Linked DNA regions of Notamacropus eugenii. The protein of the gene in region 2 purifies or fractionates together with the protein of the main gene of each other region. This does not show direct contact. Links are inferred from orthologs where the notes say so. Each region holds a gene or a part of one and is shown on either strand. Other genes may lie near its edges.

Evidence for each region.
Region 1: the proteins of TUBGCP2 (region 2) and MZT1 purify together in Homo sapiens (affinity purification with mass spectrometry; 4 studies listed by BioGRID and IntAct, counting the BioPlex papers as one, with this or other methods). This does not show direct contact. The link is inferred for Notamacropus eugenii from reciprocal best matches to the Homo sapiens genes TUBGCP2 and MZT1.

What each region holds. Positions count from the first base shown.
Region 1 is NC_092877.1:265,287,085-265,294,275, forward strand, and holds the start of MZT1 (mitotic-spindle organizing protein 1), read left to right. Parts: upstream 1-4,171; 5' UTR 4,172-4,280; coding exon 4,281-4,359; intron 4,360-7,191. Other genes in the region: BORA (protein aurora borealis), read right to left, coding at 161-267, 2,775-2,930. UniProt on the Homo sapiens protein: Required for the recruitment and the assembly of the gamma-tubulin ring complex (gTuRC) at the centrosome.
Region 2 is NC_092872.1:292,086,036-292,093,811, forward strand, and holds the start of TUBGCP2 (gamma-tubulin complex component 2), read right to left. Parts: upstream 3,002-7,776; 5' UTR 2,885-3,001; exon of another isoform or gene 2,790-2,884; intron 772-2,789; 5' UTR 733-771; coding exon 583-732; intron 1-582. Other genes in the region: ZNF511 (zinc finger protein 511), read left to right, coding at 3,144-3,205, 3,828-4,181, 5,002-5,367, 7,218-7,296. UniProt on the Homo sapiens protein: Component of the gamma-tubulin ring complex (gTuRC) which mediates microtubule nucleation.

The DNA.
Region 1 (7,191 bases), on a different chromosome or scaffold from region 2:
CTCTGAAAGTGAACCATTCTTGTAATACATCTCTATCTGGCATGGTGAATCTGCACAAACTACTCCACCTTGCTGCCTTTATATCAATTTAAAGGTTTCATTTTCTACTACTTTTCAAGAGCAGGTTATTACACTTCAGGGCAAGTATACAAAAACTTACCTAGAATGACTTAAATATATAGCTTGACGATGAACGTCTTCTGGATCTATTTCCACAGGATTTATGACAGCAAGTTGATCAATAGACCATCTAAATTTCCCTGGAGTCTTAACAAAAAAAAGAAACGAACATTTATGAATAAAACGGTGAGCTGCACAATGTTTACTATTCTATCAAAAAACTAATAAAAGTCACCTTCAGGAAGACTAGGAGCAGCCAACATTTAACACAATGTTCTCTAAAGCTAGTGACACATTAACATTGGGGTGGGTGGAGGGAGTCAAAAGGGTAGGAGAAGCAGGGCAAGAGCTATGATTTGATCAGAATAGGGAAGCCTGGTATAGAAACTCTCTCCATCAACCTAGATGAGCAATTGATCAGGAATTAGTCTTAGAAAGTTGCCTGGGGCACTGAGAGGTTAAAATATTGGCCCACAGCTAGTAATGCTACATGCAGGACTTGAACCCACATCTCCCTAAACTTCTTTAATATCTACTATGATATTCTGCCTTTACAAAATTAGAATAAAAACTACTAAAACAAAAGGTAATATGGACAAATTTACTAATTTCTATTTTAAATAATCAAGACACTCCATAGGGACGAATTTTGAATAAATTAATAACAACCAGTCAGTAAATAAGAACGTAAGTGCTTGCTATGGTCTGACTTTTCCCAACAAAGAAATATGCTAAGGGAAAATTGTGGATGTAATGAAAAGACCCCTGAAATTGGGAATCAGAAGACCTACATTCAAATCCCTGCCATGTTACGTTAGTGATATGTTGTCTGTCAGTCTTTTTTAGTTGTCAGTCATATCTGACTCTCTGCAACCCCATTTGGGGTTTTCTTGGCAAAGACAAGAAGTTTGCTATTTCCTTCTCCGGTTCATTTTACATGTGAGGAAACTGAAGCAAGCAGGGTTAAGTGACCAGCCCAGGGACACACTGAGAGTAAGTGCCTGATACCGGATCTGAATTCAGATCCTCCTGACTTTAGGCCACCTAGCTGCCCACATTAGTTATATAACTTTGAACAAATCTGATAACTCCTCTGTATGCCTCAGTTTCCTTACTTGCAAAACGGAGTTCAATAAAACACATGAACAAAGCAGAACTGCATGAAAGAAGAGGTATAAAGCATGCCAGTGAAAGGAATCACAGGAAATCATGTAGCAAAAGAGAGAAACGATGATATCAATAACCACTAAAATTTGTATGGTACTTTAAAGTTCACAAAGTAGTTTACATACGTTACCAAGTCAGAGCTCAGGATGAGGCGAGGCAATTGTTACGTGTATTATTAACCCCATTTTAAAGCACAAAAAACAAATCTAAGGACACTCTGACTTGCCCAGGAACATACACATGGCCATTAAATGTGAAGGGGCAGTATGTAAACCTATGTTTTTCTAAGTCCAAGTCAAATACTCCATCCCCTACACCATGTTGCCTCACCAAATTGGTGACATTCATAGAGTGCTTTAAAGTTTGCAATGCAATTTACATAGATTATTTCAAGTCTCACAACAACTTCATGAGGCAAAAGGAAAATGAAATTCATTGAGGTTAAGCGACTTAACTATGGTCAAAAAGTGAAGAGGTGTCATAGGCAGATTTTGAGCTCAGGTTTTCCAGATTCCAACTCCAACATGTAACCCACACTATGTTGCTGTCAGCCATATATGAAAGATAGCCTTTGTCTTTCACTGCATGGACCCCTCTCTAGAAATGTAGAAAAAAATCCCATCTCTTTGGATAGGGCACTCATTAAAATTTATAGGAGGACATAGTCCAATCTTCCAGGATGAGGGCACATATATGAGTTACAAGGCAGGTTTCTGAAAGGAATGTCTACAGTGTGATCAGAGATCCAATGAATCTTCTGTTTCATGGGTCACCATGGACAAATAATGAATTGTTTAACACCCAACCTCTTGTTGATAAGTTTGTCTATAATGGATCCTGAAAAGCACTGAACTAGTCTTAAAAATTTTCTACCTAAGTACAACCTGCCAAATTTATGCTGTTAGTATGATTAAGAATCTAAAGTTACCTTCATAGTAAGACGACATCAGAGAACCTTCCTAGAAATTCAGTAAAAAGTTATAATCCCAATCTATTTTAATTAAATGCATTATCACCATGGAATCTGTGATGTTAGAACTTCCTGATAAAATGTGTCAAGTTAAAAAGATGAACTCAGAGAAATTTTTGCTTTTCTTTAGGCCATCCACAAGGCTTTACTGAATACTACTTTGGGCTAAAACTGAAGAAACTTAGGAAGCTTAAATGACTTCATATTTTTCACAAACTTCAACAAGGAAACCAACTATGGAGACTGAGATGTGCACTGACTCTGAAAGCAGACCTAAGCATTAATCTTAGCTTTGGCACTTCCTAAACATGATGACTGCTGGCAAGTCTATGAACTCATCTTTAAAATGGAGATAACATGCAGCCAACCAAGTGCTTATAGCCATAAAGCACTATTAGTCAGGCACTGCTATTATTGCTATTAACAAACATGTTCTCTAAGTGTCACACTGTTACCTGTAGTGAGGAAATGTTTTTATTTGAATATATTTTTATAAGTCATATGATTCAATTCTTACGGATGAAGATTTTGTAGATTTAAATGCTGAAGGACTGGAGACGATTTGTTCTTGCAGGCTGGAATAATCACTTGGACTTTCAAAAGGATTTAGGACAGTGATCTTTCCCGGAGTTTCCGGTGTTATTTGCATTTTAGCTTCTTTGACATCTCCCATAGCATAAAACTGAAAGAAAATCACAGACAGGATCATCAGTTTTCCCTTATTGAAATCTGACCATAGCATTCATGACAATCCTTTACAAAACAAGAAGAAATGACTACAATGTTAAGAATAAAATTGTGGCTTCCAACAATAGAGGATGGTGTAAAATCTTGTGAAAAAATTTAGAGTGGAAACAAAGTAACCTTCTCCCCCACCCCCCACAACCCCACTGAGGAACTTTGCCACATGCCTGATCAACAAACTTAAACTTCTCTCTAACAGCTTACCTCGATCTACAAGAACTCTGTGGTATTTCAGCAAACTCAGCTAGTCAATTACTCAGGAGCCGTGCTAAGCCATGGGGGCACAAAACAGGGCAGAAGAGGGCCCCTGCTCTGAAGGAGCTCACAGTCTAAGGTGGGTGAACACATGCAACCTACGTACAAAACAAGACTTACAGAGGACAAACTGGGCATTAATAAGAGAGGGAAAGCACACACCCTCTCCATTCACCTACACAGCCTCGGCTCATCCAACCTTCTTTTTAAGGTCTATGCCATTACTCCAAAACAATACGCTTGCTCAGGTCTGGGCCAGTTACAGGCTCACGTTCCCTAGGTGGGCAAGGGGTCTAACGTTTCCAGGACAGGACACAAGGTGGCCTCCATCCCGAGACAGAGGAGGGGTGCCAGTAGGGTGAAACGTGCCTTCCCAGAAGTTCCACAAAGGCAGCCTCGGTCTGCCGGAAAGAGGAAGTTCAGAGCTATCCCCGTTCTCCCCCATTCTCCTAGGGCACGCTCGGCGCGGGAGGACTGGCCAGCAAGGAACCCGGGAAAAAAGCAATCCCGATACAATGAGGGGGTTGAAGGGGGAGCCCCTCCAGAACACGTACCTCTAAGCCGTGGGTGAGAAGCCACGATTCTCACGGTGCGAGAGCTGCAGAGATGGAGAATCCAGGTAGTCCTCCCGGGGGTCCAGCAGCTGCCGCGGCAGCAGCAGCCAGCTACTCTTTAACTCCCAGATTCCGAGATGCCGAGGACCAACCAGGGCTCGGGGCTTCCGGGAGCTCAGCCAATCGTGGCTGCGAGCCGTCCTCGAACTGGCCAATCAGACGGCCATCGCGTAGGAAATTCGAATGGAAACTTCGCGCTTCACGCCCCCATAGTAACGAGGCCCCGGGATTCAAACGAACGCAACTTTATGGAGCGCCTCACGGCGGCAGACACACAGCGCGAGGGGCGGAGCCTCCCTCCGGCGTGAGGAGACGACGCGCAGCCTGATTGCCCGGGAGAACAGGACACTACCTCCTGTTCCGGGTCAAACGGTTCTCCCGCTTTTCCCCTGCCTTGGCGGGCAGTCGCCATGGCAGGGAGTAATAGCGGCGCTGCGGCTGCGGCGGCCGCCGCGGCCAACCTGAACGCGGTGAGGGAGACCATGGACGGTGAGTTCCCGTCCCTGTCCCTTCTCCTCCTCTCCAGTTCGCAGGCAGACGCGGGGCCCAACGAAAGGGGTGGTTCCGTTGGAAGCTTGAGAATAACCCTCCTTTTCCCGGACCGCTTCCCCGACAGCCCCGAGTCGGTCGACGCCTCGCCTTCGAGGGGAGCCTCCACGGCTTCTACGTACGCGGTCGCGCGCGTCGTCCCGTTTCCCCACGTCGGCGTCGCGCTCCTGGCGCCCGGAATGTGCGTGGGTCCGTTATCCCTCCCTGGTCTGGGACCCCGGGGGTCGCGCTCCCTTCCTCGGCCTCCTCCCACTGTTTGCTCTAAAGCGGATCCAAACGCGGTCCAGCGCGGGGGTGCTGGGAGGAACTCTCGTGGCGTCGGGTCGGGCCGGGTCGTGTGTCCACGCACTGAGTGTGGCGTGGGCCACGGGAACCCACGTAGTGTCTGTGCACTGGAGGGTGAGCAAAGTGAAAGGCCCGGGAGCGTCTGGGTGTGTAGGTGGGAACCTGGGGGAAAAGGGCCTGCGTCTGGATGAACGTGAGCCCGATGAAAAGAAGAAAAAGTTGCGGCAGGGCTTGAGTTTGCGTGACTTCACGTGATGAGATTGAAATTCCTTAGGCAGAGATGACTGAAGTGTTTGCTATGAAAGAAATAATAGCTTATGCAAATGGTAGTTTCCTCAGTCTCTGCTCGCGAAGCAAAAGGTGCCGGTCCAGTCCTTGCAGAGGTGATGATCTTTTACAATGTATCCTGATTATTTACAATGTATCCTAATTGTAACTTATTTCTATGCGGTTGTTTGCGTGTTGTCATGGGAGACGCTGGCGCAGGACTGCTCACCACAGGGCCCAGATTGAGACATTACAAAGTAAACATAGAAGGCACAAATATAGAGTATCCACCCCACATATTCCCACCGACTGTCTGTGCTCAACCTGTGGTAGAGCATTCCAAGCTCGGCAGTGGTCTGATCAGCCCGCTCAGACGTTGGAAGTTGAGTTTATGTGGTGATGTCATTTTGGTCCTCTTCCAGAGCCAAGGACCACAATCAACCCAGTTAGACTGAGTTTCTTGAAAGCAGGGACTGTTTCTCCCTTTCTGTGCCTGGAGCACAGAACCTCAAACTCAGTGGACCATTAATAAATACTGTCCACCAGATGTAATTGACTTCCCTTAACCTGCATTATTCCTATTTCCCTTTCTTGTATTGCACTTCCCACTTCAGCATTTTCCAAATATGCTCCGGACTCCCGTCGTTTGAAAAGAAAAATGCCCTTGAAAGACTCTCCCATCCTTTCATTCTCTGAATCTGACTCTTCCCATTTACAGGCCAACTTCTAGAAAAAGCTGTTTATACTCTTTGCCTCCATTTCTTTTCTCAATTCTCAAACCCTTTAAGTCTTACAGCCTCATCACCCAAGTGACACTGTTCTCTTCAAGATTACCCGTGATATTTTGTGGTCTTTTCATATCCTCATTCATCATAAGCTCTTTACAGCATTTTACACTCCTGAATACTTTCTTCTCTTGGGTTTGCTTGCTTCGTTCCTTTTGCTTTTACTAGTCTAACTGCTCCTTCTCATGCTCCTTTGCTGACATCATTCATATCCTACCCTCCAACTAGTTAAGTTCGCTCTCTTCTCTCTGTGTCCTCATTTTTGGTGATCTCATCAGCTCCCTTGATTTCAATTTCCATCTCTATGCAAATGACTTAGAATCAGGGGTGAGGAACCTTCGGGGTGGGGAACCTTCAGCCTGGAGGCCACATGTGGCCTTCAAGGTTCTTGGGTGCAGCCTTTTGACTGAGTACAGTACCAACAAATGCTTTTTTTAGGCCAAAGGTTCCCCACCCTTGATTCCTAGATCCTAGTGGAGATAGCCTAAGTCCCTTACCATCACTGAGGGGATTTGTGATACTGCTCCATTCCTTGGTTCTTTTGCCATTCTTACTACTATTTTTTAATCTTCTGATTTAATCTTCTCTGCTGGATTATAATTGACATCACACTTTCTAACCTCTCTGAAGTTCTGGGTTTACCACTTGTGATCATAATTCCCAGTTCAATATATCCAGTCCCAGTTTCTCCCCTGATTTCACCATCACCAAACTGCCTTTTAGACATTTGAAACTGAATTTCTAGAGACTTCTTAAATTCGACATATCTAAAACAATTTATTATCCACCCTCCCCACCCTTCAGCAAAAAAAAAAGTACCCCTCTTCCAAATTTCCTATTTTTTTGTAAGGCATTATTTTTCTGGTCTCCCAGATTTGTAATGTTGACTTTACACTCAAATCACTCCACATAACTCAGCAGGATTGTTGGGGTGTCATGGTGTGTTGCAGGGTTGTCTTGAAAGAATTCACAAAGACCATTTCCAACCCAAGCAAAGGCATCTATTGATGATAACAATCTCAGAAAACTGGCTAGGCTCCTTAGAGGAGCTAACAGCTTAGCAAAGCAAGACAGGAATTTTTATAGAGCAAATGGTGTTATTAGCATATTGGAATATATGAATATTAAAACATAGGAGGGATTTACTAATATGGGGAGAGGTCCTGGCCTTGGTGGAATTGCACATGTGGCTACCCATAATGCATACAGAAAACCCCCCGGGGGGGTTATTAATGTAGGATAATTATAATAAGCCTCTCTACATCACAAGTTTACCTAAAAGCTATCACTGCACAGGCATCCACTTATGGAAAGAAAGTCCCTTCTGTGATTTAGTGATCAAACATCCTGCTCGGTATCCTTCTGGTGCTGCTTTCTTACTGACTGACTATTGTGGTCTTGCCTAAAACTAGATGGATATGGTTGAGGACATACC
Region 2 (7,776 bases):
AATGGTGCTGCAGGATTGTCAGGACAGAGTATGAATAAAAACCTGTGTTTTGGGAATTCAGGAAAAATTAATTTGGGGCTACTTGAGGTCAGTACCGAAGATGACATCAGGGGATCTGCTGGAGAAGAGTTGATGCTTGTGATGACACATCCTAGAATGCTAACATTGGCTTTAAAAAGATTTTAGGGCTGAAACGGCCCCTTTCATTTCTCTGGTCTTGGGAAATCCCAGGGGAGCAAATTCCCTTCACTGCAGCAGGCTAGCACTACCACTTTCTCTGTAACTTCCTGCCTGGAACCCATCCCGGGACACAAAGCCAGTGTGTGATCAGAGGAGGACCTTGAACCTAGGGCTTCCTGGTCCTGCCCCAAAAGGCCTCTCTTCAGAAGGCCTGAATGTATTCAGTTCTCAGCAGTCAGTCCATAAACATTTACAAAGCGCCCACTCATACTGGGCTTTATGTGCAGTGCTAGGTCAAACAAGACAGAAGGCAGGCCTTGCCCTGGAGGGGCTTCTTCTGCTCTGAGGGAGCTGAAGGCCAGAAAGGTGTCCAGGTCCTGACTGGGAGTTCTGGGGGCTCACTTTGGCGCTGTGTGCAGAAACAGTTGTGGTGACGTAGGGTGTCCGATTCTTCTGCAGCAAGTCGATGTAGACCTCGGCGCCATCCCCTCCATGGACACGCAACAAACTCAGCAGCTCATTCACATCGTGGTGAATCCGGAATTCACTCATGTTTCTGGGGCTGGGTCACAAACATCACAAAGTGTTCACCTGAGGGCAAAGCAAAGCATTTCTCTAAAAATGGAGGACCAGCTAAGTAGTTGGAGGGGGGGGGGGGGGGGAGAGAGGGAGACAGGGATGCTATCCAAGCCCTTCTCTTGTCTCCAGGGGATGAAATAAGAGTCTCTCAAGGAGAAACAAACCTAATGGAAAACCTGCATCAAGAGCACGCAGGAGTGGACCAAGAATTGGGATGATGCTCCTTTGTCTCCTTTGATGTCTGCTCTATTCAACTACCTTTTTGAACAGCAACAGCCAGATTAAAAGAATGGTAAAAAAAAAAAAAAAACCGAATGGGTCTTGGAAGGAAGGCAAGGAATAAGCATTTATTGAGTGCTCCACTGGGCTATTATCTCATTGGATCTAGGTGCTGTTACCACTCCCACTTTACAGCTGAGGAAATGGAGGCAAGCAGCAGTGAAGTGACTTGCTCAGGGTCACCTAGCTAGGAGGGGTCTGAGGTAGGATTTGAATTCAAACCTTTCTTACTCCAGGGTTCTCACTTTGAGCACTGTGGCGGGTTTGAAGAGTAAACCATCAATTTGCTAACATCTGTGAAGTACCTACTATGTGCTGAGTGCCAGAGATTCAAAGAAAAGGAAACAACATGGAGCTCCCAATCTGAAGAGACAACACACCAAGAACTTTGTGGAAGCAGGGAGGAGGGCTTCCCACAGCTGTGAGCATTCTAGACTGGGGGGCAGCCAGAAAAAGGTCAGAGAGGCAGGAGGGGCCAAACACAGCCTGCTGTATTTGTGCCTGAAGATGTCTGAGTTGGAGGTGTGGGGGAGAAAGAGTCACTTTGGACTTCTGAAATGGTTCAGGAGCAAGGTGATGAGGAGGTGGGAGTGGGGTGTGGCAGGATCAGACAAAAGGGGTCACAAAGGCAGAGCCACAAGGCTTCAGGCCTAGGAAGAGGGAAAGAGGATAAGTCTGAGTGACAGCCTGTGGGGCAAACCCCACAAATAAGCCAAAGCCTTCAGATGTGCCTCTGTCAAAAGAGGCCCTCTCATCAGCTAACTGCATGAGGATATCTGAGGATATTCCTCAAATACCCTGGCCCCCCACTGTGGGGAAGGTGAAGACAGAGAGATGAGGACACAGAGCAATTCGGAACTGGATGCATAAAGAGAGCAAACAGAAAACATTCAGGGAGTTGTGAAATGGTTGGGAGAAGAAACTCAGGACCTCCCTGTGGGTTTGCCTGGAGGCTGGAAGAGGCCTGGGGTGAGCTCTCAGGAGCTCCCCATCCCTAGGTCTGAGAGGTTCATGCGGACTCCTCGAGGAGAGGCCAGACCCACAGCCAGAGAGCAGCACTCCCTTTTAAGTGAGACTTTTACTGGCACATTCACAGTGGGCCCTCCCTATTGACAAAGACACATTGAGATGGTCAGTGCCTATCAGGCTGCTCCCATCTGAGGCCCCAATTCCTGCAAAGGAGTCAGGGCTTTTCCTTGCGGAAAAGTTTACTCTGGGGGCCTCTAACCCCAGCTTCTCCCTGTTTCCTGGTGGCTGTTCTTGCCAACAACTTTGGGACTCTGAGGGATCTGAGTGGACCCCAAGCCCCCAGGAATCCACAGGGGTTAGGACTAACTCATGCTGGGGAAGGAAGGAGGAGGAAGAGGAGGAGAATGATGGGGGGTGGGGGAGGCTGTTGAGGGTACTGGGAGGAGGTGGAAGGAGAAGGAGAAAGAGGGGCGGGAGCTGTCCAGGGTCCTGGGAAGAGGAAGGAGGGGAGGAAAGAGGAGCAGGAGCTGTCCGGGGTCCTAGAGGAAGAGGAAGGGAGGCAGAGAGGAGGGGGAGGGGCGCAGGAGGCGCTGTTCGGGCTGCAGTCTGCGGGGAGGAGGATGGGTCCGGTGGGGGGGCAGGAGGGGGAGGGGAGCTCTATCTGGGGGCGGGAGGGGAAAGAGAGCTCGCAGCGCGGGAGGGGAAGGGGGCCCTCCTGGTCCCGCCAGCCCGTTCAGTCCCAGGCACGGATGAGAACCGGAAGTTGTTTGGCTCGTACGTACGCGCTGGGGGGCCCTGGGGGCGCTGCAGCAGGAACGGGGAGAAGGAGCTCCGACCCTGATCGCCCCTTGGCAGACTCCTCTCCTTCCTTACTCACCCTGGATCCCGTTACTGTCCGGTCCCTGCCGACTCCCGCCTCGGCTCAGACATGACCCGGAAGTAGTTCCTGAGCAGGAAGTGACGCCACGAGTCTTTTCCCTCCAGCTTCCAGGCTCTGGCTGGGCGGTGGGGGGGTGCTGAGGAGAGGGAAATGGAGCTGGCCCCCCTGGCATCCCTCCCCTCTCCATGGCTGCTGGCTTGCCTGGGTCTAGGCTCAGCCAGGGGGACCCATTCTGCTGCCCGCCCCCCGCAGCTGCATGTGCTTTGCCACCTGCCACGGGGGTGACCCCAGCCTGTGCCAGGACACCTGCTGCTCGAGGTCACGTGGGTTCTGGGCGGGACCTAGAATGAGAGCTAGGCTGAGGGGCGGGCTATGGGGCGGGGCCTGGGGCGATACGTAGGCAGAGGGGTGGAGCCTTGGAGGAGACCGAGGGAGGGGTAGGTCTTGGGGGGAGACCGAGGCGGAGAGGTGGGGTCTGCGGTGAAAGACAGGCTGAGAGGCGGGGCTTGCGGCCAGACTGCGGTGGGGAGGCGGGGTCTGCGGCCAAAGCGAGGCAGAGAGGCGGGGTCTGCAGGGGGTGGGGAGGGTGTGGGAGGTAAGAAAAAGGTTCGTCGTAGAAAAAGGTTCGTCATCGTCGCGGTGATCGGGGCTCGGTCCATATCTCTGGTCGTGCCCTCCTCGGCCCTCTGCTCTCCAGGATGGGGACCCTACGAGACACCCTCAGCACCCGAAGGTGCTGTAGCCGCCCTTCCCCGGGATAGGGAAGCCGCAACCGACGGAAGAGCCCGGCCAGCGGAACCGGGCTCTGGCGTCGGCTGCGGAGCGGGTCCGCCGAGGGTCCTCTGGAGCCGATGGGCGGTGGATGGGCGGCCGATGAGCCGATGGGCCGGCAAGCGGGCGACCCCTCGAAGGGTCCTAGCGAGCCGCTTTTTCCCCGCAGGGTGCCCGCCTACTGCTGCCACATCGGGGGCTGCGATCGGGTGTTCGACTCCCTGCCGGGCTACGTGCGTCACTACCAGACGCTGCACCAGAATGCGTGCTCCTTCTGCCGCCGCTCGTTCCCCTCGGACCAGCTGCTGGACATCCACCTCCTGGAGCGCCATGGCACCGTGCCGTCTTCGCCCACTCGGGCTGCGGCCGCGCGCGAGCGCCGCCCCATCCCCTTCTACTACCAGTGCCCGGTGTGGGGCTGCACCGACAAGTTCATGAGTCCCGAGGAGCAGACGGACCATCTGATCCGCGTCCACCACTACCCGGCCCATCTCTGGTTTGATTCTCCTCAGGACAACCAGAGGTAGAGGGGAAGGGCGGGGGCGAGCTATCATTATTGGGGGGAGAGCGAAAGACAAGAGGGATGGGTAGGCAGGGGGCCGGAGAAAGTGGGAAGGGAGGGGCGGGCGGGGGTGCGGGCTTTGCAGAGCACGGGAGGGGAGGGAGACGGTCTATCATTATGGGCGAGGAATGGGAATGTGGGAATGGGGGTGAGTGGAGAGCGGGGAGAGGCGGGAGGTGGTCGATCATTACGGGCAATGGATGCGGACGGGGGTGGGTGGAGAACGGCTAGAGGAGGGAGGTGGTCCATCATTATGGGCGATGAATGGAGCTGGGGATGGTGGGAGAGCGGAGAGCGGAGAGAGGAGGGAGATGGTTGATCACTATGGGGAATGGATGGGGATGGGGGTGGAGGCAGAGCGGGGAGAGGAGGGAGATGGTCGATCATTATTGGGGATGGATGAGGATAGGGGTGGGGGCAGAGATGGGAGAGAAGGGAGGTGGTCGATCATCATGGGGGATGGAGAGAGCGAGAAGAGGAGGAGGGAGGCAGATCATTATGGGGGATAAATGGTAGTGGGGGGGGGGAAGCGAGGAGGGGAGGGGGAAGGGGCGGAGGCCGGGGAGAGCGAGGGGGGGCGGGGGAGAGTGGAGCAGAGGGGAGGGGGAGGGAGAAGGATGGAGGTGGGGGCGGGGCCAAGCATCGCTGGAGAGGGATGGGGTGGGGGCGGGGAGGGGCGGTGGACATCCGGGCCTGAGCATCTACCAGAGGACGCCAGAGGGGCGTCATCGGTGAAGGGGGGGCTGCAGGGCTCTCACGCCCCAGTCATTCTCCTCTGCAGTTCCGGCCAGCAGGGCTCTGCATCCTCTGCATCGGCCTCTGTGGGGTCCGCCTCCGAGGCTTGTGCTAAGGAATCGGCCTCTGCGTCCCTGGCCTGTGCATCGGCTTCTGTAGCCTCGGCTGCCCAGGGCTCTGGGCATGGAGGAGTTCTCGGAGGGGATGACGCCCAGGACCCGGAGGAGGCCATGGAGGAGACTGTGGAGGATCCTGAGGAGGAAGAGGAGCCCGTGGACGACGTTGAAGACGACGCCGACGATGAGGAGCCCATGGGGGAGGATATGGGGGAGGACGAGGAGGACGAAGATCCTCCTGAGTCCGAGGCAGGCAGTGACCCCGAGCCTTCTGAGGATGACATCTCCAGCCTCAGGTCAGGAGACGAGGACGTTGGCCCTTTCTCTGCCCCCTCCTGCCCCTCCGTGTGTGTGTCTCTCTCTTTCCGTCAGTCTCACTCACACTATCTCCACCCAACGAGCACATTCAGCACGTAGGCTGCGGACCCCGACCCCAGTGAGCAGAGCCTGCCTTCCCCTCCCATTGGGAGGCAGTGCAATGCCTAGCTGGGGAAAGAGAGGGAGCAATACCTGACTGACTTATCAGGCCAGCCAACGCTTCACGATTCACTGTGGTGTTTGGGACCTGGCAAGAAGCCTTCTCAAATCACCGTTAAACACACACAAAACATACATCCTATTGAAATACACTCAGCAAAAAAGGTTAAACATTATAGCACACACACCCCAGGAATGAGGAAGGGCCACTGGGGGCTCCAAGGGATAGAACTTGGGAGGCAGCTTCTTCTGACCCTTCCACAAACTCTGCAGCCCATTTGTCCTCCAGAACTACTCGGAGGAGCTCACTCTTCTAGAGACTCAGAAGGTGGGAGTAGGGAACAGCTCAGTCAGGTGTGTGTTTGCATGGGAGCCAGGAGAAACTGGAGGGTTGGGGGCTTCAGTCCTGTGGACTTCAGGGTGAATAATTAATCAACAATCACCGAAGCATCTACAGAGCCCTTGAAGGCTGGCCAAGCTCCTTACATACATTCTCAATAGATCCTTAAACAACACTAAGAGGGAGGTGCAGTTATTATCCTCATTTTACTGAAAATAAAGGCAAACTGAGGCAGACAGAGAAGTGACTTGCCTGAGCTCACACAGCTAGTAAGAATCTGAGACATGATTCCCGACCCATGCTGAACCTCTCAAGGCTAACACTTTCTGGGTGAACTGGGAACCCCAGGATCTGAGCCAGGGCTACACTTGAATTTCAGCAAAGCATTTTCCAGTCTTCCTCATGCATCCTTGTGGAATGGGTCCTACCTGAGACTCTTCCTAACTCCCTCAACCTCTGGGTTCCTGTTGTTTCCCCTGCTTGGGGGCTGGCTCATTAACAGCAGGGCACTGAAGAGAGTGATGAGCCTGGAGTCTGGGAGACAGAAACTCACTGTCCAGTTAAGTTCTGTGTGAGCCCAAGAGGAAGCTCCTGTACCTGTCGGGAGGTCTCTAGTGGGGTGGCCCAGGTATCTGTTCCTGGCCTGATGCCATTTGACAACTCTGCTACTGATTTGAATGGTGGTAGGATGATCCCCAGTGACCTTGACATGCCACAGGGATAGCTGATGTCCATTAGGGACAGAGTTCAAGGACTTCTCACTGGGCGAAGTAAGGGCAGAATTTGGGGAAGCAAAGGGAAGGATGGGAGATGCTGATAGGATTTTCAAGCATAGGATGGTGAAGATGACCCGATTTGGGGAAAGGGTGACCCAGGGGAGGCTGGAAACCAGGAGCTCCCTGCTTATAAGGGTCAAGAGGAGGAGGAAGGGAAAAAGGGAGATGACTAGTTCTGGGGAAATGGGGGTGGTGGCTCAGCTAGGGGACCTGCTGGAAGAGACTGTCATCTTAGGGGATGAAGAAAAGCTTGGATCCCTCCTGAAGAGAGTATCTAGGGGTTGAAAGGGAGGAGCGGGACAATGTCTCAGAGGAAGGGGAGTTGGAAGCTGAGAGGGTTTGGGGAGCTACGGAGGCAGCAGACGCATCCCCCAAGAGCAGATGGTGAAAAAGTGCTCGAAGCCCCTCCCCAAGCCTGCTTCTGGGCATCAGGTCCCTCTACAGCCCAGCCCTTGGCCTCTCCACCATTTGTGGTGGTGGGGCCCAGGACCTCAGCAAGCCCCCAGTAAAGCCAGAGTAGAGGGGCTCACCTGGAGTATGCTTTCCATTCCAGAGGCCCTACAATTGCTTTTGGCCCCGGGGCAGCTGGAGGATTCGATGATAGCGCAGAGGAGAGTAATGAAGATCACTGAGCACCTACAGAGTCGGGCTGCTCCCTGGGGTCATGAAGCAGGACCCCTTCCCTCCCCCACCCCCACCCCCCCAGAAGCATGTTTTCTGGGCTTTAGAGCAGCCCCTGAGGTGCACCACCACACAGCGATCGGCCTGGGGGCGCTGCTTCCTTGGTGAGCCCCTGCTCAAATCAGGGGCCAGCCAAGCACCTCTTGGACCAGGCTGAGTCCAACCCAGGCCTTTTCCCCTCTCCCTCCTTGCTCACTCCTCCTGCTGGAGGACCCCTCGTCTGTCTTTGTGTTTGTCTTGTTGTCTGTGAAGCACAGGCCCCTGGTGTGCTCGCCAGGAATCCCAGAAGGACACTCAAGACTGTTGGCCCATGCAGCCATGACTGCTCTGGACCATCTTGAGGTATCTTCTAGGGTCTGCCCCCTACCCTGTGAACCTAAATAAAGTCTGTAAGCAACCCCACCATGGCTGGGCTCCATTTGTACAAGACC